4 linked regions of the Stegostoma tigrinum genome follow. The protein of the gene in region 1 interacts with the protein of each later gene in a pairwise test. Links are inferred from orthologs where the notes say so. Each region holds a gene or a part of one and is shown in the gene's direction. Other genes may lie near its edges.

Region 1 (7,623 bases):
CGCTATCATGCCCGCCTCTACCACCTCCGCTGGCAACACGTTCCTGGCACCCACCACCCTCTGTGTAAAGAACTTTCCACGCATGTCTCCCTTCAGGTTTTCCCCTCTCACCTTGAAATCGTGACCCCAGTAATTGAATCCCCCACTCTGGGGAAAAAGCTTCTTGCTATCCACCCTGTCTATACCCCTCATGTTTTTGTAGACCTCAATCAGGGCCCCCTCAACCTCTGTCTTTCTAATGTGAATAGTCCTAATCTACTCAATCTCTCTTCATAGCTAGTGACCTCCATACCAGGCAACATCCTGGTGAACCTCCCTTCTGCACCTTCTCCAAAGCATCCACATCCTTTTGGTAATGTGGCGACCAGAACTGTATGCAGTATTCTAAATATGGTTGAATCAAAGTCCTATACAACTGTATAGAACTGTGTATGTGTGTATGTGATTGTCTGTGCGTGTGCGTGTGTGTGTGTATATATCTATGTAATTATCTGTGTGCGTGTGTATGTTTATGTGATTGTGTGTTTGTGTGCGTGTATGTGATTGTCTGTGTGATTGTGTGTATGTATGTGGTTGTGTGTGTATGTGATTGAGTGTGTGTGTGTGAGAGAGATTGTGTATAGAACATAGAACATTGTGTTTGTGTGTGTGATTGTGTGTGTGTGTATGTGATTATGTGTGTATGTGATTGTGTGTAACTGCATGTGCGTGTGATTGTGTGTGTATGTGATTTTCTGCATGTGCGTGTTTGTGTATGTAATTGTGTGTGTGTATGTGATTGTCTGTGTGGGTATGTGATTGTGTGTGGGTATGTGATTTTGTGTGTGAGATTGGGTGTGTAATTGTGTATATGTGTGTATGTGATCTTCTGTGCATGTATGTGATTGTGCATGTGTGTGTTTATGTGATTGTCTGTGTGAGTATGTGATTGTGTGTATGTGATTTTTTTTGTGTGTGTGTGTGTGTGTGTGTGTGTGTGTGTGTGTATATATAGAGTATAGTGTGTTGGGGTCACTTGTAGTGTGAAATGTACCCAAGATCCCGGTTGAGGCTGTCCTCGTGGACACTGAACATAGCTATCAGCCTCTGATTTGCACTTGCACATTTATAATTGTAGATACATTTTTTTTGCTCAAAAAGCACAGAAATTGCAGACAATCCGTATTGTATTTTATAAATTCCTGCTTTAGAAATAACATCATCTGACTCCAAATTGATACACAGCCAGGTTCTAAACAAGGCCTCACACTTAAAATATTAGGTTATTTTCTCTCTCCATGGATGCTACCCAACCAGTTGTGATCTCCAACATTTTTGCTCAGCATGGATTTCAGCAACTGCAATAATTTGTTCCTACATTGCGTTTATTAATGTCTGCGTTGAATACAAGCTGAAGGAGGTGTATACAATGTTGGTTTAGCTACAGCTTGATTACTGTCAGCTTTTGTGCTCCTAAGATGCTGCTTGTCCTGCTGTGTTCATTTAGCTCCACAGTTTTGTTGTCTTGGATTCTCCAGCATCTGCAGTTCCCATTATCTCAGACACAAGGGGATGTTTTCTTTAGAGCACAGAAAGCTGGAGAGGGAACCTGACTGAGGCGAACACGCAGCTTACAGGCAGGGAACAAAATGTCCCTTCACCCTGAAGGCAAAGTATTATGTTGGAGCCCCACCCCCTTCGCGCCCCGCCCCCTCTGTCGCTCCACCCCTTCTCCCGTCCGGCTTTTGCCCAGCCCCCCCCACCCATTCACTGGATCCTTCCCCTTTAGCCGCAACCTCGAGTCCTAGCCGCACCTTCCCAGCTTCTGACTGAAAAAAACTGTAATTGTTTGAAGTCGGAAACAATAACAGAAACTGTTAGTGAACCTTATCTATGGACAGAGATACAGAGTTAACATTTCTGATCCAGTGACCTTTCAGAATGTAACAAGGTGTGGACATGGATGAACACAGCAGGCCAAGCAGCATCTCAGGAGCACAAAAGCTGACGTTTCGGGCCTAGACCCTTCATCAGAGAGGGGGATGGGGTGAGGGAACTGGAATAAATAGGGAGAGAGGGGGAGGCGGACCGAAGATGGAGAGTAAAGAAGATAGGTGGAGAGAGGTTTGGTGAGGAGGTAGGGAGGGGATAGGTCAGTCCAGGGAAGACGGACAGGTCAAGGAGGTGGGATGAGGTTAGTAGGTAGATGGGGGTGCGGCTTGGGGTGGGAGGAAGGGATGGGTGAGAGGAAGAACCGGTTCGGGAGGCAGAGACAGGTTGGACTGGTTTTGGGATGCAGTGGGTGGGGGGGGAAGAGCTGGGCTGGTTGTGTGGTGCAGTGGGGGGAGGGGACGAACTGGGCTGGTTTAGGGATGCAGTAGGGGAAGGGGAGATTTTGAAACTGGTGAAGTCCACATTGATACCATATGGCTGCAGGGTTCCCAGGCGGAATATGAGTTGCTGTTCCTACAACCTTCGGGTGGCATCATTGTGGCAGTGCAGGAGGCCCATGATGGACATGTCATCAAGAGAATGGGAGGGGGAGTGGAAATGGTTTGCGACTGGGAGGTGCAGTTGTTTGTTGCGAACTGAGCAGAAGTGTTCTGCAAAGCGGTCCCCAAGCCTCCGCTTCGTTTCCCCAATGTAGAGGAAGCCGCACCGGGTACAGTGGATGCAGTATACCACATTGGCAGATGTGCAGGTGAACCTCTGCTTAATGTGGAATGTCATCTTGGGGCCTGGGATAGGGGTGAGGGAGGAGGTGTGGGGACAAGTGTAGCATTTCCTGCGGTTGCAGGGGAAGGTGCCGGGTGTGGTGGGGTTGGAGGGCAGTGTGGAGCGAACAAGGGAGTCACGGAGAGAGTGGTCTCTCCGGAAAGCAGACAGGGGTGGGGATGGAAAAATGTCTTGGGTGGTGGGGTCGGATTGTAAATGGCGGAAGTGTCAGAGGATGATGCGTTGTATCCGGAGGTTGGTAGGGTAGTGTGTGAGAACAAGGGGGATCCTCTTAGGGCGGTTGTGGCGGGGGCGGGGTGTGAGGGATGTGTTGCGGGAAATACGGGAGACGCGGTCAAGGGCGTTCTCGATCACTGTGGGGGGAAAGTTGCGGTCCTTAAAGAACTTGGACATCTGGGATGTGCGGGAGTGGAATGTCTTATCGTGGGAGCAGATGCGGCGGAGGCGGAGGAATTGGGCAGAGGGGATGGAATTTTTGCAGGAGGGTGGGTGGGAGGAGGTGTATTCTAGGTAGCTGTGGGAGTCGGTGGGCTTGAAAACCACCCTACCAACCTCCGGATACAACGCATCATCCTCCGACACTTCCGCCATTTACAATCCGACCCCACCACCCAAGACATTTTTCCATCCCCACCCCTGTCTGCTTTCCGGAGAGACCACTCTCTCCGTGACTCCTTTGTTCGCTCCACACTGCCCTCCAACCCCATCACACCCGGCACCTTCCCCTGCAACCGCAGGAAATGCTACACTTGTCCCCACACCTCCTCCCTCACCCCCATCCCAGGACCCAAGATGACATTCCACATTAAGCAGAGGTTCACCTGCACATCTGCCAATGTGGTATACTGCATCCACTGTACCCGGTGCGGCTTCCTCTATATTGGGGAAACCAAGCGGAGGCTTGGAGACCGCTTTGCAGAACACCTCCGCTCAGTTCGCAACAAACAACTGCACCTCCCAGTCGCAAACCATTTCCACTCCCCCTCCCATTCTCTTGATGACATGTCCATCATGGGCCTCCTGCAGTGCCACAATGATGCCACCCGAAGGTTGCAGGACCAGCAACTCATATTCCGCTTGTGAACCCTGCAGCCGAATGGTATCAATATGGACTTCACCAGTTTCAAAATCTCCCCTTCCCCAACTGCATCCCTAAACCAGCCCAGTTCGTCCCCTTCCCCCACTGCACCACACAACCAGCCCAGCTCTTCCCCCCCACCCACTGCATCCCAAAACCAGTCCAACCTGTCTCTGCCTCCCTAACCTGTTCTTCCTCTCACCCATCCCTTCCTCCCACCCCAAGCCGCACCCCCAGCTACCTACTAACCTCATCCCACCTCCTTGACCTGTCCGTCTTCCCTGGACTGACCTATCCCCTCCCTACCTCCCCACCTATACTCTCCTCCCCACCTATCTTCTTTACTCTCCATCTTCGGTCCGCCTCCCCCTCTCTCCCTATTTATTCCAGTTCCCTCTCCCCATCCCCCTCTCTGATGAAGGGTCTAGGCCCGAAACGTCAGCTTTTGTGCTCCTGAGATGCTGCTTGGCCTGCTGTGTTCATCCAGCCTCACATTTTATTATCTTGGAATTCTCCATCATCTCTGACACTACACCTGGTTATCTCAGATTCTCCAGCAGCGGCAGTTCCTACTGTCTGTGCTACACCTTTCAGAATATTTTTGTTTCTGGTCAAAGTGCATTTTGGGAACAATCGATTCCCTCAAAACTAGGTACCTGCCAATCTACATTACCCGAAGGTCTGCGCGACAACTTCCACGCATAGCCGGAAGCACTCTTCTGAAAGCCGATTGGTTATTCGCCTGGCGGTCACTGGTGATGCTGTTAGGAAGACGCCGGCGCACTTCCGGTTAGTGCGGGTGCGAATCCGGACGGACTGAGTGGTCGCGTCGCTGGAACCTGAGGAAAGTCGCGGATCCGTGGTGTACCTTGTGTGTGGGAGGGTGAGTGTGCGGTGGACTTCCTCCCCCGTCTCTGATTTACCTCACGGAGGCCCAAAGCTGTTAACCGAGACCGTGGTTAACGCCGGGGTTTACTTGGAGTTTTGAGCCGGGCCCAGGCCGTATCTGATGCGCACTTTAGCGCTGATCCCGAGCTAACGCCGAGTTTTGCCCCGGGATCGACAACGTGCGGCGCGGTTGAGGCTGATTTTCCTGTTTGTTGCGCATCCGCGCCGTCACAATGTGGAAATATGTGCCTCCCGGGCTGTCCTGAAAACTCCTGTTTGGTTCATATCCACTGAAAAGGGATTTGTGTTTGTACGGAACAATCTGACCCTGAAACTCGCGTCGGTAAATGCTGCTGAGTTTTCAGGTTAAACTCTTGGTTTTTCGGTAGATAATTCTTTCTCTATAAATCAGCCTTGATGTCTGTAACAATTTGGCATATATGATTAATATGTTGATTTTCAGCAAACGGGTTGTAACTGACACCTTTGGGACATTTCGATTAATCGAGTTCATTCCACCCACAAAATATGGGATTTACCGACCATTATCTCTCCCCGTGCAGTCGTCTTGGGCACGATTTTGGATGAATACTCCTAGCTAATAACAAGACTAAGATATAGGAGCAGAATGCGCATTCGGCCCATCACATCTGCTCCACCATTCAATCATTCCTGTATTTTCCGCGTAACTCTTGAACTCAGCTGTCTCTGTCTTAACACCACCCATTCGGCTGGTGTCAATAAATTCCACAGATTCATCATTGTCCAGCTGAAAAAAATTCCTCATCTCAGTTCCAAAGGGTCATCCCTTAAATCTGAGCCTGCCCTCAGATCCTAGATTCTCCTACTAGTGGAAATGCCTTTTTCAAGTCAACTCTATCCAGGTTTATCAGTATTCCGTAAGTTTCAATCAGGTCTCTTCCCTCCACGACCCCCCCCCCCCAAACCTCCATGTATCACATGGCCTTATTTTCTCTCCTATATCCTGACTACTGCTAGGAGGCCTGTAGGTAACTCCCATCAGTCATTTATCCTTTGCAGTTCTGCAGCTCTACCTGGATTCTACTTTGCGATTCTTTTATATGACTTTTTGCTATCAATTTAATTTCATTTCTTACTACCAAGGCAACCTCACCCCTTCTGGCAATCTGTTTGTCCTTTCAATAGGATACATATCTTTGGGTATTTGGTTCTCAGCCCTGATCTCCTTGCAGATGTGTCTCGGGTACCTGCCAGTTTCAATCTGCACCACCGGCTCATTGACTTTGTTTTGTGCACTGTGTGTGTTTAAATATAAAACCTTTAGTCCTATGTTGACTGGCTCCCATCCTTATCTGCTGTGCCTGAAGTTAGATTATTGACCCTTTCTGTACTCTGTCCTTTTAAAGTTTTCAGAACAATTAATAACCTTGGCTGACAAATTCCACCACCCCCCCCCCCACTTTAACTTATTCCTGCATTTTTTAGTTTAGTTCTATCCACAGCCCTAGTTGGGTGATTCACCAGGACTTTGGTCCTAGCATGGTTCAGGTGGAGCCCATCCTAACAGAACAGCTTCCTCCTTCCCCAGCACTGGTGCCACGGTCCCATGAATTTGCACCCATTTCTCCTGGGCTAATCTTTGAGGTTCGTGTTTCCTCTTGAATTTTGTTGACCCTATGTCAATTGGTTTATGGGTCAGGTAGTAATCCAGAGATTATTATCGTTTTGGTTCTGCTAATCAATTTATCCCTTTATCTGTTTATATTCCCTCAGCAGAACTTCTGTCCTCTTTCTTCCTATATAATTGATACCTACATGGCCCATGACAACTGGATTCCTCTTCCTCCACGCCCCCCCACACACAAACACGCGCACACACACAAACACACGCGCACACACACAAACACACACGCGCACACACACAAACACACACGCGCACACACACAAACACACACGCGCACACACACAAACACACACGCGCACACGCACAAACACACACGCGCACACGCACAAACACACGCGCACACGCACACGCACAAGCGCACACGCACACGCACAAGCGCACGCGCACACGCACAAGCGCACGCGCACACGCACAAGCGCACGCGCACAAACACACGCGCACGCGCGCGCGCACACACGCGCCTGGGCACCAGGCAGATTACACAACCTCTTGAACTCTAGATCGGACCACAGAACTGTCTGTTCCCCTGATTATAATGACATTTCTCTCTTCTGCTCCATCCTGAATGGCACCTTGTTCCTCCTTGCCATGGTAGTTTGCTCCAGCTTCCCATTGCTCTGCTGTCATCCACATCGGGAGCAGGAATCTCGGACAAAAATAGAAATTGCTGGAAAAACTCAGCAGGCCTGGCAAAATCTGCAAAAAGAAAACAAAGTAAAATATTTCAGGTGCAGTGACTCTTCAGAACAAGAAATAGAAAACATATCTGCAGTCTCCTTGCAGTTATCCTTCTTACTAAGTTTTTTGTCATCTGAAAATTTGGTGATATTACATTTAGTTCCCTTAGCTAAATCCTTTTTATTCATTATTGGGATGTGAATGTCACTGGCTGGCCAGCATTTAATGTCTATCCCTAGTTGTCTTTGAGAAGGTGGTAGTGAGCTGCCTTCTTGAATTACTGCAGTTCATATGGGTCAACCGACAGCATAATGCCATCAGGGAGGAAATTCCAGGATTTTGACCCAACGACAGATAAGGAGCTGTGATATATATCCAAGTCAGGATGTTGAGGACTTGGTGGGGAGCTTTCAGGTGGTGGTGTTACCGTGTATCTGCTGCTCTTATCCTTGTAGATGGAAGTGGTTGTGGGCTTAGAAGGTGCTTCTAGGGTCTTTTGAGAGTTTCTGCAGTGCATTTTGTGATGGTAGACACTGCTGCTATTCAGCGTTGGTGGAGGAGGGAGTGGATGCTTGTGGACATAGTGCCAATCAAGTGG
Region 2 (7,328 bases), on another chromosome or scaffold:
TCCCTCCTAGTTGGGGAACACTTCAACAGTCAAGGTCATTCAGCTTCCGTTCTTCAGGTAAGTGTCCACAAAGGCACCCTTCGAGATACACAGGCCTCCAGGCTGAAAAGTAACCTTCCACCACCATTTTCGGTCTTCTACCTCGAGCCACTTCTGTATCCAAATGGCTGGTTCTGCTCATATTCCATACAATGTAACCTTGCTAACCAGGCTACCATAAAGGAACTTTGTCAAACTTCGTACTGAAGACCACCACTCTACCCTATTCAATCCTCTTCATTAAATTAAAGTTTTTTGAAGAAGTAAAGTTCGTGAGACACAGTTTCCCACACACAAAACTACGTTGACTATCCCTAATCAGTCCTTGCCTTTCCATATACAGGAACATGAAAATCCTGTTCCTCAGGAGTCCTTCCAACAACTTGCCCAGCATCACATTACATTTTGAATTGAATATTTTACAAAATAGCTAAGACAAATTGTTTAAGGCCCAAAACGTCAGCTTTTGTGCTCCTAAGATGCTGCTTGACCTGCTGTGTTCATCCAGCTCCACACTTTATCTCAGATTCTCCAGCATCTGCAGTTACCATTATCTCTGAAGACAAATTGTTTGACCATATATCTTCACAAAAACACTTATTTAAGACACATCTGATTGTCTTATCTGACCACAGCCACATAAGACAAGAATATAGACTGACCAAGGGAGTATTCGTTCATTGCTGGTGTCAAATTTTGCTTTTAATACATGAATGAAACGTTCTACATTCAACAAGTTAACTGCAAGAGAGTCAGAGTTATACAGCATGGAAGCAGAGCCTTCAGTCCAACTCATCCATGCCAACCAGACATTGTTGTTAAACTTTGCTTCTAATATATGAACAAAATGTTCTGCATTCACCAAATTATCTCAGTTATACAACATGGAAAGAAAGTGTTCGGTCCAACTCGTCTATGCCAACCAGATATCTTAAACTGACCGAGTCCCATTTGTCAGCATTTTGCCCGTATCCCTCAAAACCCTTCTATTCATGTACCCAGATGCCTTTAACATACTAGATACATTCATTCATTCACAGTAAGTGTCAGGCACAGTGCAAGTAATTAAAAAACTAGTCTCTAACCAAAAAAATGAAACTTTCCCACGTCTAAATATTGTTAGTTTCTTTATAAACAACAACATTTTCATGGGATGTTACTTCTCTCCTCATAATCACAGCAACTGTGCGTTTACTTGCTAATGAACTGAGCCGATCGGCTGATTTTTGATGCATTAACCATGAGTTATGTAGTGATATATCATAACGGGAAGGCAGCAGTCATCATTCCCCGCAGCATCTCAGGAGCACAAAAGCTGGCATTTCGGGCCTAGACCCATCAGAGAGGGGGATGGGGTGAGGGTTCTGGAATAAATAGGGAGAGAGGGGGAGGCGGACCGAAGATGGAGAGAAAAGAAGATACGTGGAGAGGAGAGTATAGGTGGGGAGATAGGGAGGGGATAGGTCAATCCAGGGAAGACGGACAGGTCAAGGAGGTGGGATGAGGTTAGTAGGTAGGAGATGGAGGTGCGGCTTGGAGTGGGAGGAAGGGATGGGTGAGAGGAAGAACAGGTTAGGGAGGCAGAGACAGGTTGGACTGGTTTTGGGATGCAGTGGGGGGAGGGGACGAACTGGGCTGGTTTTGGGATGCAGTGGGGAAGGGGAGATTTTGAAGCTGGTGAAGTCCACATTGATACCATTGGGCTGCAGGGTTCCCAAGCGGAATATGAGTTGCTGTTCCTGCAACCTTCGGGTGGCATCATTGTGGCACTGCAGGAGGCCCATGATGGACATGTCATCTAAAAAATGGGAGGGGGGAGTGGAAATGGTTTGCGACTGGGAGGTGCAGTTGTTTATTGCGAACCGAGCAGAGGTGTTCTGCAAAGCGGTCCCCAAGCCTCCGCTTGGTTTCCCCAATGTAGAGGAAGCCACACCGGGTACAGTGGATGCAGTATACCACATTGGCAGATATGCAGGTGAACCTCTGCTTAATGTGGAAAGTCATCTTGGGGCCTGGGAATTCCTCCAACTTCCTACAGACTAAGGGGGTGGCCATGGGCACCCGCATGGGCCCCAGCTATGCCTGCCTCTTTGCAGGTTACGTGGAACAGTCCCTCTTCCGAACCTACACAGGCACCAAACCCCACCTCTTCCTCCGCTACATTGATGACTGTATCGGCGCCACCTCTTGCTCCCCAGAAGAGCTTGAACAGTTCATCCACTTCACCAACACCTTCCACCCCAACCTTCGGTTCACCTGGCCATCTCCAGCACATCCCTCACCTTCCTGGATCTCTCAGTCTCCATCTCAGGCAACCAGCTTGTAACTGATGTCCATTTCAAGCCCACCGACTCCCACAGCTACCCAGAATACACCTCCTCCCACCCACCCTCCTGCAAAAATTCCATCCCCCATTCCCAATTCCTCCGCCTCCGCCGCATCTGCTCCCACGATGAGGCATTCCACTCCCGCACATCCCAGATGTCCAAGTTCTTCAAGGACCGCAACTTTCCCCCCACAGTGATCGAGAACGCCCTTGACCGCGTCTCCCGCAACACATCCCTCACACCCCACCCCTGCCACAACCGCCCAAAGAGGATCTCCCTCGTTCTCTCACACCACCCCACCAACCTCCAGATACAACGCATCATCCTCTGACACTTGCGCCATCTACAATCCGACCCCACCACCCAAGACATTTTTCCATCCCCACCCCTGTCTGCTTTCCGGAGAGACCACTCGCTCCGTGACTCCCTTGTTCGCTCCACACTGCCCTCCAACCCCACCACACCCGGCACCTTCCCCTGCAACCACAGGAAATGCTACACTTGTCCCCACACCTCCTCCCTCACCGCTATCCCAGGCTCCAAGATGACTTTCCACATTAAGCAGAGGTTCACTTGCACATCTGCCAATGTGGTATACTGCATCCACTGTACCTGGTGTGGCTTCCTCTACATTGGGGAAACTAAGCGGAGGCTTGGAGACCGCTTTGCAGAACACCTCCACTCGGTTCGCAATAAACAACTGCACCTCCCAGTCGCAAACCATTTCCACTCCCCCTCCCATTCTTTAGATGACATGTCCATCATGGGCCTCCTGCAGTGCCACAATGATGCCACCCGAAGGTTGCAGGAACAGCAACTCATATTCCGCTTGGGAACCCTGCAGCCCAATGGTATCAATGTGGACTTCACCAGCTTCAAAATCTCCCCTTCCCCCACCGCATCCCAAAACCAGCCCAGTTCATCCCTTCCCCCCCAATGCACCACACAACAAGCCCAGCTCTTGCCCTCCACCCACTACATCCCAAAACCAGTCCAACCTGTCTCTGCCTCCCTAACCTGTTCTTCCTCTCACCTATCCCTTCCTCCCACTCCAAGCCGCACCTCCATCTCCTACTTACTAACCTCATCCCACCTCCTTGACCTGTCCGTCTTCCCTGGACTAACCTATCCCCTCCCTACCTCCCCACCTATCTTCTTTTCTCTCCATCTTCGGTCCGCCTCCCCCCCCGCTATTTATTCCAGAACCTTCACCCCATCCCCCTCTCTGATGAAGGGTCTAGGCCCGAAACGTCAACTTTTGTGCTCCTGAGTGCTGCTGGGCCTGCTGTGTTCATCCAGCCTCACATTTCATTATCTTGGATTCTCCAGCATCTGCAGTTCCCATTATCACAGCCATCATTCCCCACCCAGTCCCATGGCCTCAGTTCCAGCCCCCGTAATTCCGATTGCCCAATTACCTATTTCCTCCCCGTGCTCCATGTCAATTGCTGCGCCACGTCACACGCCGCCTCCTCCTACAACGGATTTCCTTGATTCAAACCAATTCGAAGCAACAAAAAAGAAAATCAAATATAAATTTTGACAGGCCGCTGCTCGAATTAAACGTGATTCTGATGTTTTATCCTCCCACTTCGCAGGAAACATTAAGCCCTTGGAAGAGGCAAATTAAAAAACTACAAGTCCACAGAGATAGCGTCGATCTTCCCCGGCGTTAGTTTCTCGGGAATGCCCACCCTGTCAACGGCCAGTTTTAACTGCAGCATGAGTCGGTCATTGGTGAAACACAGATACCAACACAGTCACACCATGAGAACTCAGACCCCAGCACGTCCCCAAACCACAGATGTCATAACCAAGAGAGAGCGCATGTGCAATCTCCTCCCCTCCCTTCCGAGCCCAGACTGCGTGCGCGCCGAGCCTGCCTCAAGCAAAATGTGCGCTCTTTAGAAAGTAAGTGTAAACTCTCTTGACTGCCTGCCCAGGAAATATTTAAATTCAGTATTTTCTTTCTGGCAGACTGGGCCCATGCATTTTCCACACAGATTTTCTTCCCTTCGTTTTAATTTCCTGATTCACTTGTCTGGCCACTGTTATTTGATATTCCAATTAATTTAGTTATTTTACACCAGACCTTTGGAATGTGTTTGCGGCAGTTTTATGGCTTTAATTGCCCGATAAATATCGGAGAAGAATTCGTTCATTCAGATCATCAAGTCAGCTCTGCCATTCGATTAAGGCCAATATGTTTCTCAATTATATTCTCTTGCCTTCCCCCTGTAACCTTTGATCCCCTTCCTAATCAAAAACCTATCTTTGTCTTAAATACACTCAATGACTTGGTTATCACAGCATTCTGCAGCAACCAATTCCACAGATTCACCACTTCTATCTGAAGAAATTCCTCCTCAACTCAGTTCTCAAGGGTCCTCCCTTCACTTTTAAGCTGCACCCTCAGTTCCCTGTCTCCTCTACTGGTGGAAACGTCATCTCTGCATCCACTCTATGCAGGCCTGTCAGTATTCTGTAAGTTTCAATGAGATCTCTTCCTCATCCTGGATGAGCAGCATGGACAAAATGGGCTGAAGTGCCGTAGACATCTACGACTCAATAACTCAACCGAGTACAGAACCACAATCCTTAACTGCTCCATATATGACAATCCTTCATGCCCAGGATCATCATTGTTCTCAGGGTCACCGGACCTGAAACATTAACTCATTTTTTTTCATCTGCCAGACCTGCTGAGCTTTTCCAGCAACTTCTATTTTTGTTCCTGATTTACAGCATCCACAGTTCTTTCAGTTTTGTTCAGGTCATGGGTGACACGGTGGCTCAGTGGTTAGCAATGCAGCCTCACAGCGCCAGGGACCCGGGTTCGATTCCTGCCTCCCGTCTGTGTGGAGTTTGCACGTTCTCCCCATGTCTGCGTGGGCTTCCTCCAGGTGCTCAGGTCTCCACCCACAGTCCAAAGATGTGCAGGTTAGGTGGATTGGCCATGCTAAATTGCCCATAGTGTTCAGGGGTGTGTGGGTTATAGGGGCATGGTTCTGGGTAGGATGTTTCAAGGAGCGGTGTGTACTCGTTGGGCCAAAGAGCCTGTTTCCACACTGTAGGGAATCTAATCTAGTATTTAACTCACTATTACATCTCTGCTAGGCATGCCCACCTTGAAGAAGTTTTGCTCCTCTTTCCAACGGGATTTCCATTTCCATCTTCTTGCCCACCGACATTAATTGTCACTCGCAGTGTTTAACCAAGTATTTGCTAAAACTCGTTTCCACAGCCATATCACATTCCTCAGTGACTGCCTCAGGCTTAACTCACCCCTTGTGGATTCTAACTGAATTTTCATCCCTCATGTTTTGAATTCTCCCAGAATCACAGTTATCTCCATGATGTTCAATGTTCCACGGACAATTACTCTTGCCACATCCTGAGATCCACTCTCTCTGCCATGTGGCGTCACATGCTCAGACTCAATATTTCTCTCCAATAGCGTCACAACATGCTGGCTCAGAGCTGCACCACTCTACAGTTTCATTTCATCCTCCAGCTCATTCGCCGTGCTAACATGAAACATTTTCTTTTCCTTTCAGGCATCAAGGTCCACAAGATGCAACTTCTCAAAGCTACCCATGGCTCTCTGGAACCTTCCTCTCCCTTCCTCCCCTCCGATTCCATTCCCTCTTCCAAGTCCACCTCCTGTCAGCTATTCACCATCCCTCTTAACCTTCTGCTCTCTGATGGTGAATGTTCTGTACTCAGCAACAGCCTCAGCCTTATTCCTCTGCGTCCCTACCTGAACAAATTTCAGATATGACATAATGCCGAACTGTTCTTTCGCTGTCTTCAGCTCCGTGCCCATTTCTTCAGGCAACAGTTCAAAAACACAAGAATTTTTTTTAAGTTGTGAGGAAGGATCACTGGACCCAAAATGTTAACTCCTAATTTTTTCTTCGCAGATGCTGCCAGATCTGCTGAGCTTTTCATTCAACTTCTGTTTTTGTTCATTCTTGTAAGCCTCCTCTGACCCCCTCCAACATCAGCACATCTTTCCTTAGAGACAGGACCTGTCCTTCTGTCTATCTTTGTGTCATTAGCAAACTTAACACCAATTCCTGCAGCTCCTTTGTTCAGATCAGCAATGATTAATTTGAATAGCTGCGGTCCTGACACTGAATCCTGTGGAACTGCACTAGTCACCAGCTGCTACCCTGAAAAAGACAACTTTAAACTCAGCCTTCTGCCAGTTAGCCAATCCTCAATCCATGCCAGTACCTCATCCCACACACAATAGCCTCTCATGTTATTTATCAGCCATCTGTGTAACACATTGTCCAAAATCATCTGGAAATTCAAAAACAGATTATGTGTACTGGCTCCCCTTCATCTATCTTGTCATTGCCTGTAGGATTGAGCGAAAATCCTTATCATTTAAAATACCGGACTAAAACCCTGGGCTTTAAAAATTAAATAAAAAGGCAGCTAGGCTATGCTCTGAGCAAATACACAGTAACAGAGACAGCTGCCTGGAACTATTGTTCAATTACAAAATCTAATTCACACCTCAACCCTAAAAGAATAATTCACTAGACCTAAGAAACCAACTTAATCCAGACATCACGGAGCCTTTCCAGATACCAAGACATCCAATTTCAATTAAGAAGCAGGAAAATTGATGTTCCGGGTCAGGACCCTTCTTCACAATAAACCCATTTCTGAAGAAGAGTCCCATCAACTTTCCTGCTCCTCTGATGCTGCCTGGCCTGCTGTGTTCCTCCAGCTCCACACTGCTGTCTCTGACTCCATCATCTACAGTTCATGCTGTTTCCAACTTCAATTAATATTCATTTACAGAAATACCAGACATTCCATCTATTCAAAATACATTTACACTTACTCTAAACTACCAAGAAGCCATTTCACGTCAAAAGTGGGGCAACAGTAGTACAATACAACTGGGAAGCACAGATTTGGCACAAAGGTAAGAGACCTGCAATT
Region 3 (7,650 bases), on another chromosome or scaffold:
GTCCAGTAATTTTGTAGATGTTTCCATTATTTGGAGTCTAAACTAAAACACCAAATGGAAAAACACTCAAAGTTCTGAGAAAAATTTGTACCTTTAATGAGTTCAGGATACTGTGCCCTTTTTCAGTCTCTACATAGCAGTTATCACTCTCCATTTTTTTTATTTTGACACATCCTTTATGAAAGGTGCTAATGTCCAGGTCTGCAAACAGAAATATGAAGTTTAAAAATGAATTTTAAAAAAGAAAAATCAGTCAAGAGACAACATAAAATCATCTGCTTACATATCTTAAAATACACAGTACATTTGCAATTATATTCCCATTGCTTTAAAAATGCATTGTATGTAAAATGGGAATGTTTAGTTGAACAAGCTTCTCTATAGTACTAATAGAACAAAAAACCTCATCTGGGCCCAGAAGAGCTTAGGGTGAATTGGAATGAGGAAAGATGATAATTTGGAAGAAGATTTACAACTTCCCTGTCATCAACTTTATCAACCTCTTACCATTAAAAGGGGATATATAGTTCAGAGAACTGTGGATGGATTAGTGATTTGAAAATGGTTGTTTTATACATAAAGATTGAGACTGTATTCATTACAGTTTAGAAGAAAGCAAGGTTTGTCTTATTGAAATAAGATTCTGAGGGGACTTCTCAGAGGTGCAGGGAAGAGGTTTCCTTTCAGGGAATCTGTCTAGAACTGGGGACAATTTCAAAAGGAGGGGCCTCTCAAGACGAATGAGAAGGAATTTCTTCTCTTGATGGGTCATAAGTCTTTGTAATTGTCTTCCACAGGGAGCAGGGGAGGCAGGCTCATTGAATATATTCAAATCCAAGTTAGATAACTCTTTGATGCATCAAAAAAATTTACAGATTATGGGAACAGATAGGAAATTGGGGTTAACACCATAAATTGGTCATAAGCCATAAATGGTGTTGTAGGGTCAAAGGGACCAAGTGGTTTACTCCTACTCATAATTTATGGCCTTACAACATTAAACTATTTTCATATGAGAGATAATTTTGCCTAAGTATACCTTGAAGGACGTAGTAAGTCAATCAAAACTCTAATTCCACAGACAAATTAAAAGTTGCATAACAACTACTTTTTACCTATCCTTACAAGCCACCCATATAAACTATCTTATTTCACACAAACTTCTAAGGACATAAATAAACACACACAAAAACAACAAACAAAAATTGACAAAAGACTTTTTCCTCCTCCTCATAGATGCAACTGCTGTGTCATCTGGGTCTTGTCACAGACAGCTGTGGGGCAGAGTTCTTGTGAATATTTAAGGCTAAGATAGATTCTTGATCAAAAAAAAAAAAAAAAAAAAAAATCGGGGAATCAAGGGTTATGGGGAAAGAGCAGGAAAGCGGACGTGAGGAATACTGGATCTGCTATAAATATATTGAAAGACGGATCATGTTTGATGGGCCAAACAGCCTGCTCCTGTTCCTATTTCGTAACGATCTAAGCCTGATCACATGCTCAAAACTAACTCCAGCAGCTCAAGCACATAAACCTCCCCCCCACCCCCAAAAAATGCTGAAACTCTGAAGCAAAACAGTCAGTAAAGTGATTCTCATAAATGAGTCTAATGCTAAAGCATTCGTCCCCTGCTGAACTAAGCGTGTGTATGTTGCATGCACTCTACATAAAACAGCAGTAAGTATTTAATTAACTTGGGATCCCCTTAGAATGGGTACTGACAGTGCAACATGTAGATAATTTCCCATTATTTCCATGGCCTTTTTATATTGGTTCCAAAATATCCATGGTAACTTCCAAAAGCCACTAAAAACGACGACAGGTACACCACTGTTTTAAACACATGGAAACAATTAGCAGATTTACAGAAGCAGCAAAGGAAACATGCCCGGATCCAAATTGTTTTTATGCTCCGGGCATCACGATCTCTTTTGGATCTCAAACTACTAGGGTTTCGCTGAAAAGACTGGCACCCTTCAAAACAAAAACGGGGATAACACGATGTGAGATAATAAAATGTGAGGCTGGATGAACACAGCAGGCCCAGCAGCATCTCAGGAGCACAAAAGCTGACGTTTCGGGCCTAGACCCTTCATCAGAGAGGGGGATGGGGTGAGGGTTCTGGAATAAATAGGGAGAGATGGGGAGGCAGACCGAAGATGGAGAGGAAACAAGATAGGTGGAGAGGAGAGTATAGGTGGGGAGGTAAGGAGGGGATAGTCAGTCCAGGGAAGACGGACAGGTCAAGGAGGTGGGATGAGGTTAGTAGGTAGGAAATGGAGGTGCGGCTTGGGGTGGGAGGAAGGGATGGGTGAGAGGAAGAACAGGTTAGGGAGGCAGAGACAGGCTGGGCTGGTTTTGGGATGCACTGGGTGGAGGGGAAGAGCTGGGCTGGTTGTGTGGTGCAGTGGGGGGAGGAGACGAACTGGGCTGGTTTTGGGATGCGGTGGGGGAAAGGGGAGATTTTGAAGCTGGTGAAGTCCACATTGATGCCATTGGGCTGCAGGGTTCCCAAGCGGAATATGAGTTGCTGTTCCTGCAACCTTTGGGTGGCATCATTGTGGCACTGCAGGAGGCCCATGATGTACGTCATCTAAAGAATGGGAGGGGGAGTGGAAATGGTTTGCGACTGGGAGGTGCAGTTGCTTATTGCGAACCATTGCTTATTGCAGGAACAGCAACTCATATTCTGCTTGGGAACCCTGCAGCCCAATGGCATCAATGTGGACTTCACCAGCTTCAAAATCTCCGCTTCCCCCGCTGCATCCCAAAACCAGCCCAGTTCGTCCCCTCCCCCCACTGCACCACATAACCAGCCCAGCTTTTCCCCTCCACCCACTGCATCCCAAAACCAGTCCAACCTGTCTCTGCCTCCCTAACCTGTTCTTCCTCTCACCCATCCCTTCCTCCCACCCCAAGCTGCACCTCCATCTCCTCCCTACTAACCTCATCCCACCTCCTTGACCTGTCCGTCTTCCCTGGACTGACCTATCCCCTCCCTACCTCCCCACTTATACTCTCCTCTCCACCTATCTTCTTTTCTCTCCATCTTCGGTCCGCCTCCCCCTCTCTCCCTATTTATTCCAGAACCCTCACCCCATCCCCCTCTCTGATGAAGGGTCTAGGCCCGAAACGTCAGCTTTTGTGCTCCTGAGATGCTGCTGGGCCTGCTGTGTTCATCCAGCCTCACATTTTATTATCTTGGATTCTCCAGCATCTGCAGTTCCCATTATCACTAACACGATGTGAGGCTGGATGAACACAGCAGGCCAAGCAGCATCAGGGGAGCAGGAAAGCTTGACGTTTCGGGTCGGGACCCTTCTTCTTTCAAGCTTTCCAGCTCCTTTGATGCTGCTTGGCCTGCTGTGTTCATCCAGCCTCACAGCGTGTTATTTCAGATTCTCCAGCATCGGCAGTTCCTACTACCTCCAAAACGAAAACAGGGTTCAGTTTCACAAAATGCACTTACCAAACTTTACCGGAGTGACCAAATCGATGCGAGTATCGCCGCTGATTTTTTCAGAAGTCACCACCATCTGTTTCAGAGCCTTGTCGTACTTCACCAGAACATCGTCCATATTCTCCCCTTGGTTTGGGGAAATGAGTTCGACGAAAGCGCGGTCAGCCGACGGGTAGCCGTGCGGGTCCAGCGGCTTCACCGACACATCGCAGGGCAGGCGCACCTTTAAAGAGCCGAAAGGATCTACCAGCAGAGTCCAGCGTTTCAAGGCGCTACCCTTGTGCCGGGAGTCCAGGCAGCGGGTGCCCGACACCGACCTCCAAGGCCGCAGACGGGCAAAAGACGGGCCGCATTCCCTCGGCAAAAGCGCTGACCAGCCTCGGCGGAAAAACAGAGGGAAGGAAGTCATGCCGGAGCCGAAACCAGGGACAGAATACCGGATCCTCCACGGCTCAGGAGAAAACCACAACGCCAACTTTCTGTTGTTATGGGTAGAGGAGAAAGTGCTGTCGGGAGTTGAAGTCCGCGCACGCATCTTTAACCGGACGATTGCGAACTACAATTCCCACAATGCAGTACAAACGGTTGCAGCTGTCCAAGCATTGCAGCGAGCAACGAAGAGCAACTAAGATAATAAAATGTGAGGCTGGATGAACGCAGCAGGTCCAGCAGCATCTCAGGAGCACAAAAGCTGACGTTTCGGGCCTAGACCCTTCATCAGAGAGGGGGAGTGGGAGAGGGAACTGGAATAAATAGGGAGAGAGGGGGAGGCGGACTGAAGATGGAGAGAGAAGAAGATGGGTGGAGAGGAGAGTATAGGTGGGGAGGTAGGGAGGGGATTCGTCAGTCCAGGGAAGACGGACAGGTCAAGGAGGTGGGATGAGGTTAGTAGGTAGGAGATGGGGGTGCGGCTTGGGTTGGGAGGAAGAACAGGTTAGGGAGGCAGAGACGGGTTGGACTGGTTTTGGGATGCAGTGGGTGGAGGGGAAGAGCTGGGCTGATTGTGTGGTGCAGTGGGGGGAGAGGGCGAACTGGGCTGGTTTAGGGATGCGGTGGGGGAAGGGGAGATTTTGAAGCTGGTGAAGTCCACATTGATACCATTGGGCTGCAGGGTTCCCAAGCGGAATATGAGTTGCTGTTCCTGCAACCTTCGGGTGGCATCATTGTGGCACTGCAGGAGGTCCATGATGGACATGTCGTCTAAAGAATGGGAGGGGGAGTGGAAATGGTTTGCGACTGGGAGGTGCAGTTGTTTGTTGCGAACCGAGCGGAGGTGTTCTGCAAAGCGGTCCCCAAGCCTCCGCTTGGTTTCCCCAATGTAGAGGAAGCCACACCGGGTACAGTGGATGCAGTATACCACATTGGCAGATGTGCAACTGTCTGTCATGCGCACAATAAAACAAAGAACTCAGGACGCCATAGATCTGAAAGAAGAAGTCGCTGGCAAAATTCTCAAGCTGGTAGCAACCGTGTGGAGAAAGCAGAGTTAACTCTCTGGTGAACAGATGCTGTCAGACCTGCTGAATTTCGCTAACAATTTCTGTTTTTGTCGCAGGAATGCACCTGTTCAGATACGTGAATAACACGGCTCTGGAGCAGGTGGGACTTGAACCCGGATCTTCTAATTCAAAAGGAGAAGCTTTACCACTGTACCCCAATTGTTGATGTCATTCAAAGAAATTTTTACAAAATAAGCGATTTTTCGCGAAATGTCTTCTGATGTAGATCTGCCGAAGGGTTCATGCCAAAGGCAGTCCTGCTGTTCATCCAGCTCCACACTTTGTTATCTCTAATTCCCGAAATGTCGCCTTCTCCTTTCCAAGTTATGTTGCCTAGCTTGCTGTGTTTTGACAGCCTCCTATTTGTCTACCTTGGTTCACAACTGGGTTCAGCGGATTTCTTTTGTATAACTTGAAGGACAGTTGGTGAGAGATTTAAGGCTGCACAAATATAAATAAAGGAAATGCGTTCGTAGTATCTAAGTCGTATTAACAATTAGTCTGCATTGCATGAGGGAAATGAGTTTATTGTTGGACTTTGAGATAGTAGGAAATGCAGATGCTGGAGAATCTGAGGTTAACAAGGCATAGAGCTGATGAACACAGCAGGTCAGCCAGCATCAGAGGAGCAGGAAGGCTGACGTTTCGGGTTTGGACCTTTCCTGCTCCTCTGATGCTGCCTGACCTGCCGTGTTCATCCATCTCGACGCCTTGTTATCTCTTATTGTTGGGCCTTTCCGGGTTTCCGGGATTTATTTTAGTAGCTTTGCTATTGGTCCAGATGAATCCCATGTTGCCCAATGGCTGGGTGCGAACTAACTGTGTGTATGGTTGCTATGGAGATGACGCTTGTTGACCACAAACTGGAAGAGGATCCCGGAGAGTGTCAGCAGCTCCTCAGGTACATCTCAAAGGCGAGGGCTTCAAATCTAGACGGCGCAGAACAGAAAAACAAAAATACCAGAAAGGCACCGATTACAGCTTTAATCCACAAACTCTAGTGTTGATGTTCTGACCCACACCATCACCAAGTGTGCACCCGCCCCATGTGGACTGACCACTCCTATCCCACTCACGGCCTTGTCTACACTGACCATCCCCTGGCCTATGTGCACTGACCACCCCACGTCCTGTGTAAACTGACAACCTCCGCGCTCTGTGCAATGTCCGCACCGCCGACCTGTGTGCACTGACCACTTCCCCTGCCCTGTGTTCACTGACCACCTCTGCCCTTGCCATGTCTGCATCAACCCCCAATATGTATTCTGACCACACCTACCCCCCCTCAAAGCCCAGTCTATATTGACACCCCTCCCCTGCCATGTGTGTACTGATCTCCTCCTGCCCTGTCTGCAATGACCTCTCCCCTGCCATGTATGCACTGACGTCTTCCCTGCCCTGTGTGCATTGATCACCTTCCCTTGCCCTGTGTATAATTACCACAGTACCCTGGCACATTGAACCACCATCCTATCCCGACCCTTTGCTCACTCACCTCCTTTATGGAATCAAGAGGTGAATTACCCAATGCAGATTTCTAAGCTCAGAAGCAGAAGTTGCAGGAAAAGCTGAGTTGGTCTGGCAGTGTCTGTTAAGAAAAATCAGTTAACTTTTGGGTCTGGTGGCCCTTCTTCAGAACAGACCCAAAATGTTAACTCTGACTCTTAGAACATAGAACAATACAGCGCAGAACAGTCCCTTTGGCCCTTGATGTTGCGCCGACCTGTGAACTAATCTAAGCCCCTCCCACTACACTATCCCATCATCATCCATATGCTTATCCAAGGACTGTTTAAATGCCCCCTTTTACTTCATAGATGCTACCAGAACCACTGGGCTTTTCCATTAACTTCTGTGTTGTTTTTTCCTGATTTACAGCATCCACAGTTCTTTCAGTTTTTGTTTGCAGTGTTCTAAGCCTTGGACTTGCTGTTGTAGCCACAGTACTAACATAGCTAGCCTAGTTCAATTTCTGGTCAATAGTGATCTCCAAGATGTTGTTTGTGGTTTTCAGTGATGCTAAGGGTGGCACAGTGGCTCAGCGGTTAGCACTGCAGCCTCATAGCACCAGGGACCCAGGTTCGATTCCAGCCTCGGGTGATTGTATGTGTGGAGTTTGCACATTCTCCCCATGTCTGCGTGGGTTTCCTCTGGGTGCTCCAGTTTCCTCCCACAGTCCAAAGATGTGTAGGCTAGGTGGATTGGCCATGCAAAATGGCCCGTAGTGTTCAGGGGTGTGTGGGTTATAGGGGGATGGGTCTGGGTGGGATGCTTCAAGGGGCGGTGTGAACTTGTTTGACTGAAGGGCCTGTTTCCTCACCGGAGGGAATCCAATGCTATTAAATGTCAAGGGCGGATGGTTGAATTCTCTTACTGGAGATGTAATACTGGGCAAAAATATAACTTGCCTCTTATCAGCCCAAAACTGGATGTTGCTCAGGTTTTGCTGCTTTTGAATGTACATGGACATATTCAATAGTTGAAGAGTTGCGAATGTTGTTGAACATTATGCAATTGTCAATAAACATCTCCAGCTGAAGATGACTGAGGCAAGAACACTACCTTAGGCAACTCCAGCAGTGATGTCATGTGGTTGAGATGGTTTGACCTCCAAGAACCACAGCTATCTTCCTTCGTGCTTGAATATGACTTCAACCAATGTAGATTCAACCCCTTAGTTCCCATTGACTC
Region 4 (7,093 bases), on another chromosome or scaffold:
CACATAAAATATCGACAAAGGATAAGTGAAAATGGTAATCTGGCTTTGATGTTAAACCTGATATCAACTAACTACTTAAGGTGCTGCATTTTGAAATTATTAAAACTGGGTTATAACATTGTAGCTCTTTTTCAATATTTTCTGTCCATAATATATGTAGCTATATTAATGAGGTGAGGGATGGCATTGTAGTTTATATGACAAAATGTATCGCTAAATTTAAGAAACACAATTATTAATTAGCCGTATATAAAGGACTTTTGGATAAACATGGCAGACAAATCTCATGTAACATGTCTTTAAAAATGCACTATTTATGCCTAACATAGCCCAAAATCAGATCATTTGCTGCTAAAAATCTCATCCAAGCTCTTGGTACTTTTAAGCTTGACAATTTATGTGTGCTTCTGGCTCGCCTAACATGTTCTGCCTTTTGTAAACGTAAAACTCTGCTGTCCATATCTAAATCCTGTTCACCTATAACTACCCTGTGCTCATTAATTTACATTGACTCATGATTAAACAGTATCTTTGTTTTGAAATTCTCAATCTTTATCTTCAAAACCCCCTCATAGCCTTGCTGCCTACACCCCCTCCATCACTACCATCTCCACCAGTCTTATAACCCTTTTTTTGCACAGTCTCAATTCTGCTGCTTTATGTCTTCCTGATTTTAATCATCCCCCATTATTGGAAATCCTACCTTCAGCTGCTAAGTTTCTAAGCTTTAGCATCTCCTCCCTTCACCTCTATATCTTTTTATTCCTTTAAGATGCTCTTTAAATACGAACTCTTCAACAAAGCCTTTGTTTATTTTCCTTAGTTGCTCCCATAGGACTGGGTGTCAGTTTTTTCTTTGTAATATACCTCACAAACACCAATGAATGTTCTACTACATATGAGGTACTATTGCAGTGCAAACTGTTCTTAATACAGTAGGATCATAACTCGTTTCAGGAACTCGAACCTGTTGCTCTACAATATTCTTTTCCTGCAACTTCTTTTTTCCCCTTAGCTCTGCTGCTGTTCTGTGAAACTTCTGATCAAATAAACTATCAAGTGTTAGTCAACTGAATGAGCCAAGAAGAGGCCCTTCATGTTTTTTTTGGGATTGAGGGCTGTTCCACATATGCAGGCATCATTCCATTTCTCTTATGATAAGAGATCAAAACACATTTAAGAAGTTACTCAGTAACTTCTGTCATTATTGTTCTGTAGCCGAGAATGACTTCCCCTCAGACCAACTGGTACTTTGTGCTTAGCTTTCACCTAGAATTTGTCCAAATTTTCATCCCTCCTGAAAATAAGACCTTTGGAAAATGTATGTATGTGTTATTCCACAGAAGCACAGAAACACAGAAGATAGGGGCAGGATGACACCATTCGGCCCTTCAAGCCTGCTCTGCCATTCATCATGATCGTGGCAGATCATTCCTTCTTTCTCCCCGTAACCTTTGATCCCATTCACCCCAAGTGCTATATCTAGTCACCTCTTGAATATATTCAGTGTTTTGGCATAAACTACTTCCTACGGTAATGAATTCCACAGGCTCATCACTCTTTGGGTGAAGAACTGTCTCCTCATCTCCGTCCTAAATAATCTACCCCAAATCCTCATACTGTGACCCCTGGCCCTGGATACAACCACCATCGGGAATATCCTCCCTGCATCTACCCTGTCCAGTTCTGTTTGAGTTTTATAAGTCTCTATGAGATTACCCCTCATTGATCTGAACTCTAGTGAAAACATTCCCAACCTAATCAATCTCTCTGTCAATCCTGCCATTCCCTGAATCAGCCTGGTAAACCCTTGCTGCACTCCTCCGAGAGCAACAGCATCCTTCCTCAGAAAAGGAGACCAAACTACGCACAATATTCCAGGTGTGGCCTCACCAAGGCCCTGCATAACTGCAACAACACACCCCTGTTCCTATACTCAAAACCTCTCACAATAAAGGCCATCATACCATTTACCTTCTTTCCTGCCTGCTGCACCTGCATGCTTACCTTCAGCAACTGATGCACAAGGACACCCAAGTCCTGCTCCACAGTCCCCTCTCCCAATTTACTGCCATTCAGGTAGTAATCTGCCTTCTTGCTTTTGCTTCTGAAGTGAATAACTTCACATTTATCCAAATTAGGCTGCATCTGCCATTGATCTGCCCACTCACTCAACCAGTCCGGATCTCTGTACCTACATAACAGTTCACCCTCCAACCCAACTCGGTATCATTTACAAACTTCAAGACATTACATTTTGTTGCCTCATCCTAATCATTGGTCTATATTGTGAAAATCTGGGGTCCCAGCACCTATCCCTATGGCACCCCACTAGTTATTGCCTGCCAATTTGAAAAGGACCCATTAATTCTTTGTTTTCTCTCTGCCAAACAGTTTTTTATCCATCTCAATATACTTCCCCCAGTCCCGTGCACTTTAATCTTGCACATTAATCTGTGAGACTTTGTCAAAATGCTTACTGAAAGTTCAAATGTACTACATCGACTGGCTGCCCTAGTCCAATCTACTAGTTACATCTTCATAGAATTCTGACAGATTTTTCAAGTATGATTTCCCCTTCATAAATCCATGCTGACCCGGTCTGATCCTGCCACTGCTTTCTAACTGTTCTGCTACAAAATCTTTGACAATGGGTTTGAGAATTTTCCCCACTACCGATGGTAGGCTCACCGATCTACAATTCGCTGTTTTCTCTGTACCTCCCTTTTTGAATATTGGAGTGATATTAGTGACCATCCAGAGTCTATAGAATCCTGGAAGATGACCACCAATGCATGGTCTATTTCTAGAGCCACTTCCTTAAGTACTCTGGGATGTAGATTATCAGGCCCTGGGGATTTATCAGCCTTCAATCCCAACAATTGTCCCAGCACTATTTCTCTACTAATATTGCTCTCCCTCAGCTCTTCCATCTCACTAAATCTTGCATTCTCTAACAGTTCTGGTGTCTGAATTGTGTTGTTCTTTGTGACGGCAGAACCATTCAGTTCCTCAGGCACTTCCTTTGTCCTCCATCATACATTCCCCCATTACCCTCTGTAGGGTCCTACATTTGTCTTCACCAATCTCTTCCTCTTCACGTACCTATAGAAACTCTTCCATTTGTATTGGTGGATATTTTCTCAGTGTGAGAGTTTGCCAGTGTGCCTTTTGTTGATGCTAAGTGTCATCAAGACCATAAGCCTTAGGGTTGCCACTTTAAGGACTTGAGCACATCATCATTCCTATATTGAGAACAGTGACTATACTGTGAAAGTACTTCATTGACTGTAAAGCACTTTGGGATACCCTGAGGTTGTGAAAGCTGTGCTGTGCAATGTTTAGTTGAAGATTCTACCTTTTTGCAACATGTTTCTCCGGTTATTAAATTTCTGAACACTGCAACAGTACTTTTTAAATGTTTGTTCAGTTTGTCAAACTGCTTGCAGATTTTACACTTATTGGATATTTACCCCTCAATTATTTTCTTTTTATTTCTGATTATATTTAAAGAATTTTATTAAAATCTGAATTAGTCTAGTTTTAAAACTTATTAAAGATCACTTAGAACTGAAGAAGTGTTTGTTTAATTTAGATATGTGTTAAGATTAAACCTTTACCTCATTAAATTTTCACATTTAATCCCTGAAGTGCATCTTCATATGTGGCCTGAATCAGAATCAAGCATTTTCTGCTTATACTCCTCTACATGTAACTGTAAACTGTCATTTCATTTCTAAATGTAATTTTTAAATGAACGTGTAGGCAGAACGTGAAGTCATGTAGTTTCAGTAGAAATCTTGCTGTAATTTCGCCAGAATGAGGGGCAGTGTGCGGATTAGCTGGAACAATGTCAGCTTTGGGCGAGTGGAAACTATCTGGTGTATTTTTTTAAAAGAGAAAGGGAGGAAGTAATTGCTTCCTCCTTCTTTCTCCCCCAGCATCTTTGAGGGTGCCTTCTCCACGCCTGATGTCTGAGTGGCAGCAAGCTAGCTGCTGTTATTTGTCAGGGAGTTGCTAGTTCAGCCCAGTTAGCTGCATGACGCATTCCCCAGCTCGGAGCTCTTACAGGCTAATGGCTGGTGTTGTCTGTCTCTCTGAACACTGGCCGGTTCACTGAGCTGCTGATTGGTGAAGCAGCCTCAGCCAGATGTGGTATTAACTGTTGGAGGAATGAAGTAGAGGGAGAGAGAGAGAGGAAGACTGTGGGCAGGCAACAACAGCCTGGCGGTCGGTGCAGTGATCTGAGCGTGGAATGAGGAACCGGAGCCCTGCTGCTGTGCAGGTCAGTTACAGTATCCCTCACATCCCTCACTGTAGGGGCAGCTTGGATACACTTCTTTCCAATACACAGGGACGCAGCCCTTACCTTCCCTTCAGGATCCAACATTACACAGAGATGCCTTGGACCCTCCCATTCCCGACTTTGTGCAGTTTCACGGCCGAGCAGCGTGTCCTTGAAGATTTCCGATCCTGGGCCACAGCGTCCCTGGCTGGGTAGCCGGGACAACGGTCCCCTTCCCGGACCTCTCACTGCTGAGGCCAGCCCGAAGCTCCGGGAGGATGTGCGGGCTCCTCACGTTTTCACCCACAGATTGGAAATGCGGTGATGGTTTTTATGGTGGAGGGGGCACTGAGAGGGCCAGGGTACTGTGTGGGTGCAGCATTTGCTGCCCGGTTAACGTTGTAAACTCTGCCTGCATTGAATTGCAGAGGTTAGAGCGCATTCCCGAATTGGGAAACATCAAAGCTGCCTTGTTATTTCCCGTGTAATTGTGCCGGAATTAATAGTGTTTGATTTTTGGTGTTGAACATTCTCTCTCCGGCTATGGTGCCCCTGTGTGTGCGGGTTGGTGTGCTTTGTGATCAGTTGGATTTACAGCAACAACATTAAACAGATTTTATTCCTACTTGCCATCATTGTGTTCTCCCCTCTAAAACTGAAAGTGTTTTTTTTAAATGTTAAACCTCTAGCTCTAGCTGGTCGGTGAGAGACTGGCTGTCAGTGCAGCACCTCAGTACATTGACACGCTTATCCAAACATTGCTCACCTTTTTTTTCCACATTCTAGTCCCGCCTACTCGCATTTATATGATTGCAGAAATGATGCCAAAAGCACAGTTGTATACATTGGAAAGCCAACGATTCCTCTTCCTCAGTCTTCTCTGAAACTATTTTACGTAAATTTGGTTTCTGATAAAGGGAAAAATTGGAGCTTCATTATTTTGGGGCTAATCCAGCAAGAGTATTCCACGTCTTTCTTTTTAAAAAAGGGAAACTGTACTCATGTAGCACCAGGCTCCTGGGTAATGATAGCATGTATGGTGCAATACTTCCAACTGGTTTTAGTGGTTTACTAATTAAAAGTGGCTGAATTAAAAGGCCAATGCACAGACCATTGATTTCAGACTTTATTTTACATTATTATTATATTGCTACTTCATCTATGAAGTATATCAGTACCTTAAAACATAAAAAAAATTCTTGCTGGGCATCAGGTATTTCAGATGCAGCTCCTATCTTTTTGGGTGGCACAGTCGATCTTGTAAACACACACAATGAGTAAAATGCTTTCATGATACATTTGTGTTTTATGTCAACCTCGTCTAAGCCACATTGTCAGAATTTGCCGCTTTCCATCCTTTATTTGGTTTTATTTGATTTACTGTAGTCACGTGGACCTAAGTACAGTGAAAAGTTTTGTTTTGCATGCAGTACAGGCAGATGATAGCATACAAGGACATATGAATGATTGAACAGAGCAAGGCATGCAAAGTTATGGCTGCACAGGAGGTGTACACAAGAAAGATCAACATTAGTTCTGAAATTAGAGCGGCCCATACAGCAGTCAAATAGTGGCAGGGAGGAAGATGTCTTGAACCTGTTGGTGCGTATTTAAGCTTTTGTACCTTCTGCCTGGTGAAAGAGGCTGGAAGAGATTATAACTGGAGTGGGACGGAGTCTCTAATGCTGTTGGCTGCTTTTCCACAGCAGTGAGATGTATGGATGGATTCAGTGGATGGGAGATTGCCTTGTGTGATGGACTGGACTGTGTACACAACTTTCTGAAGTTTCTTACCGTCCTATGCGGCTGGTTGCCATACCAAGTTGTTATACACACAGATAGACTGCCTTCAGTGGTACAGTTGTAAAAGGTAGTGAGGGTTCTTACGGACATGTTGAATTTCCTTTGCCTGCTGAGGAGAAAGCGGAGTCATTGTGCTTTCCTGACCATCACATTTATGTGGATGGACCAGGACAAGTTGTTGGTTATGGCTGGCCCCCAGGAGCCCGACAGTATGGATCCTGTCCACCTCACTCCCTGTAGTCTATACAATACACTCTTCACCTCTTTCTCAATGTTTCACTCAGCACTTGGTATTTTCAATTTGAATCTTTCATAAGAGGAGAGTTAAATGCAAGAATTCAGATCAAAGACTAATTTTTTGTGAAGTGTACTAATGTCTCTAGAAACTCATTTTGCAAAACGTAACTGTAAAGGCGCTGTCATGCAGATTTACAGTATCCAGAAGGCAAGGTGCTAGGCATTCATTAGTTTTTAAGTTGACATGTGACTGGTTAATTTTCTCACAGTGAGGCCAAGTTTGTACATGATGTGTAGTCTTAGTTTGAAACTGAGAGAGTTTTTGTTGGCGAGTGATTATCTGCTTATTTTCATGTGACTGCGAGCAGGTGGCCCTGAGGAACAGAGTGAACAGGCAGAGTTGGCTTAATTAGGACAATATGACCTGAAGCTGTGAGGCACCTGTGAAACACAGAAGGCACACACCTGAGCAACATACATGTCACTTTTTAACCTGAGTTTCTCACCGATATTGACATCATTAGCTTGAAGGAGTAATCATCCACCAGTACTTAGGGGGTTGGAACAGCAACAAAAACAAGCTGTGTACGTTTAAGTAAAAACCGAAAGAACTGCAGATTTTGTAAATTAGGAACAAAAACAGAAGTTGCTGAAAAAGCTCAGCAGGTCTGGCAGCATCTGTGAAGAGGGAATCAGAGTTATTGTTTCGGGTCAGTGACCCTTCCTTAGAACTTCCTGATTTTTAATTCCTGATTTTTCTTCTCAGAT

Evidence for each region.
Region 2: the proteins of txlna (region 1) and deuterosome assembly protein 1-like interact in binary tests that used the Homo sapiens proteins (3 or more experiments, as listed by UniProt). The two-hybrid records come from large-scale screens. The link is inferred for Stegostoma tigrinum from reciprocal best matches to the Homo sapiens genes TXLNA and DEUP1.
Region 3: the proteins of txlna (region 1) and ccdc146 interact in binary tests that used the Homo sapiens proteins (3 or more experiments, as listed by UniProt). The link is inferred for Stegostoma tigrinum from reciprocal best matches to the Homo sapiens genes TXLNA and CCDC146.
Region 4: the proteins of txlna (region 1) and dtnba interact in binary tests that used the Homo sapiens proteins (3 or more experiments, as listed by UniProt). The two-hybrid records come from large-scale screens. The link is inferred for Stegostoma tigrinum from reciprocal best matches to the Homo sapiens genes TXLNA and DTNB.

The regions. Positions count from the first base shown.
Region 1 is NC_081377.1:47,670,262-47,677,884, reverse strand, and holds the start of txlna (alpha-taxilin), read left to right. Parts: upstream 1-4,563; 5' UTR 4,564-4,676; intron 4,677-7,623. UniProt on the Homo sapiens protein: May be involved in intracellular vesicle traffic and potentially in calcium-dependent exocytosis in neuroendocrine cells.
Region 2 is NC_081359.1:48,534,120-48,541,447, reverse strand, and holds the start of deuterosome assembly protein 1-like, read left to right. Parts: upstream 1-4,250; 5' UTR 4,251-4,277; intron 4,278-7,328. Other genes in the region: neutral amino acid uniporter 4-like, read right to left, coding at 3,785-3,806. UniProt on the Homo sapiens protein: Key structural component of the deuterosome, a structure that promotes de novo centriole amplification in multiciliated cells.
Region 3 is NC_081378.1:24,324,970-24,332,619, forward strand, and holds the start of ccdc146 (coiled-coil domain-containing protein 146), read left to right. Parts: upstream 1-4,608; 5' UTR 4,609-5,059; intron 5,060-5,795; exon of another isoform or gene 5,796-5,860; intron 5,861-7,650. Other genes in the region: protein FAM185A, read right to left, coding at 92-201, 3,470-3,995. UniProt on the Homo sapiens protein: Essential for sperm flagellum biogenesis and male fertility.
Region 4 is NC_081357.1:130,868,235-130,875,327, reverse strand, and holds the start of dtnba (dystrobrevin, beta a), read left to right. Parts: upstream 1-4,063; 5' UTR 4,064-4,285; intron 4,286-7,093.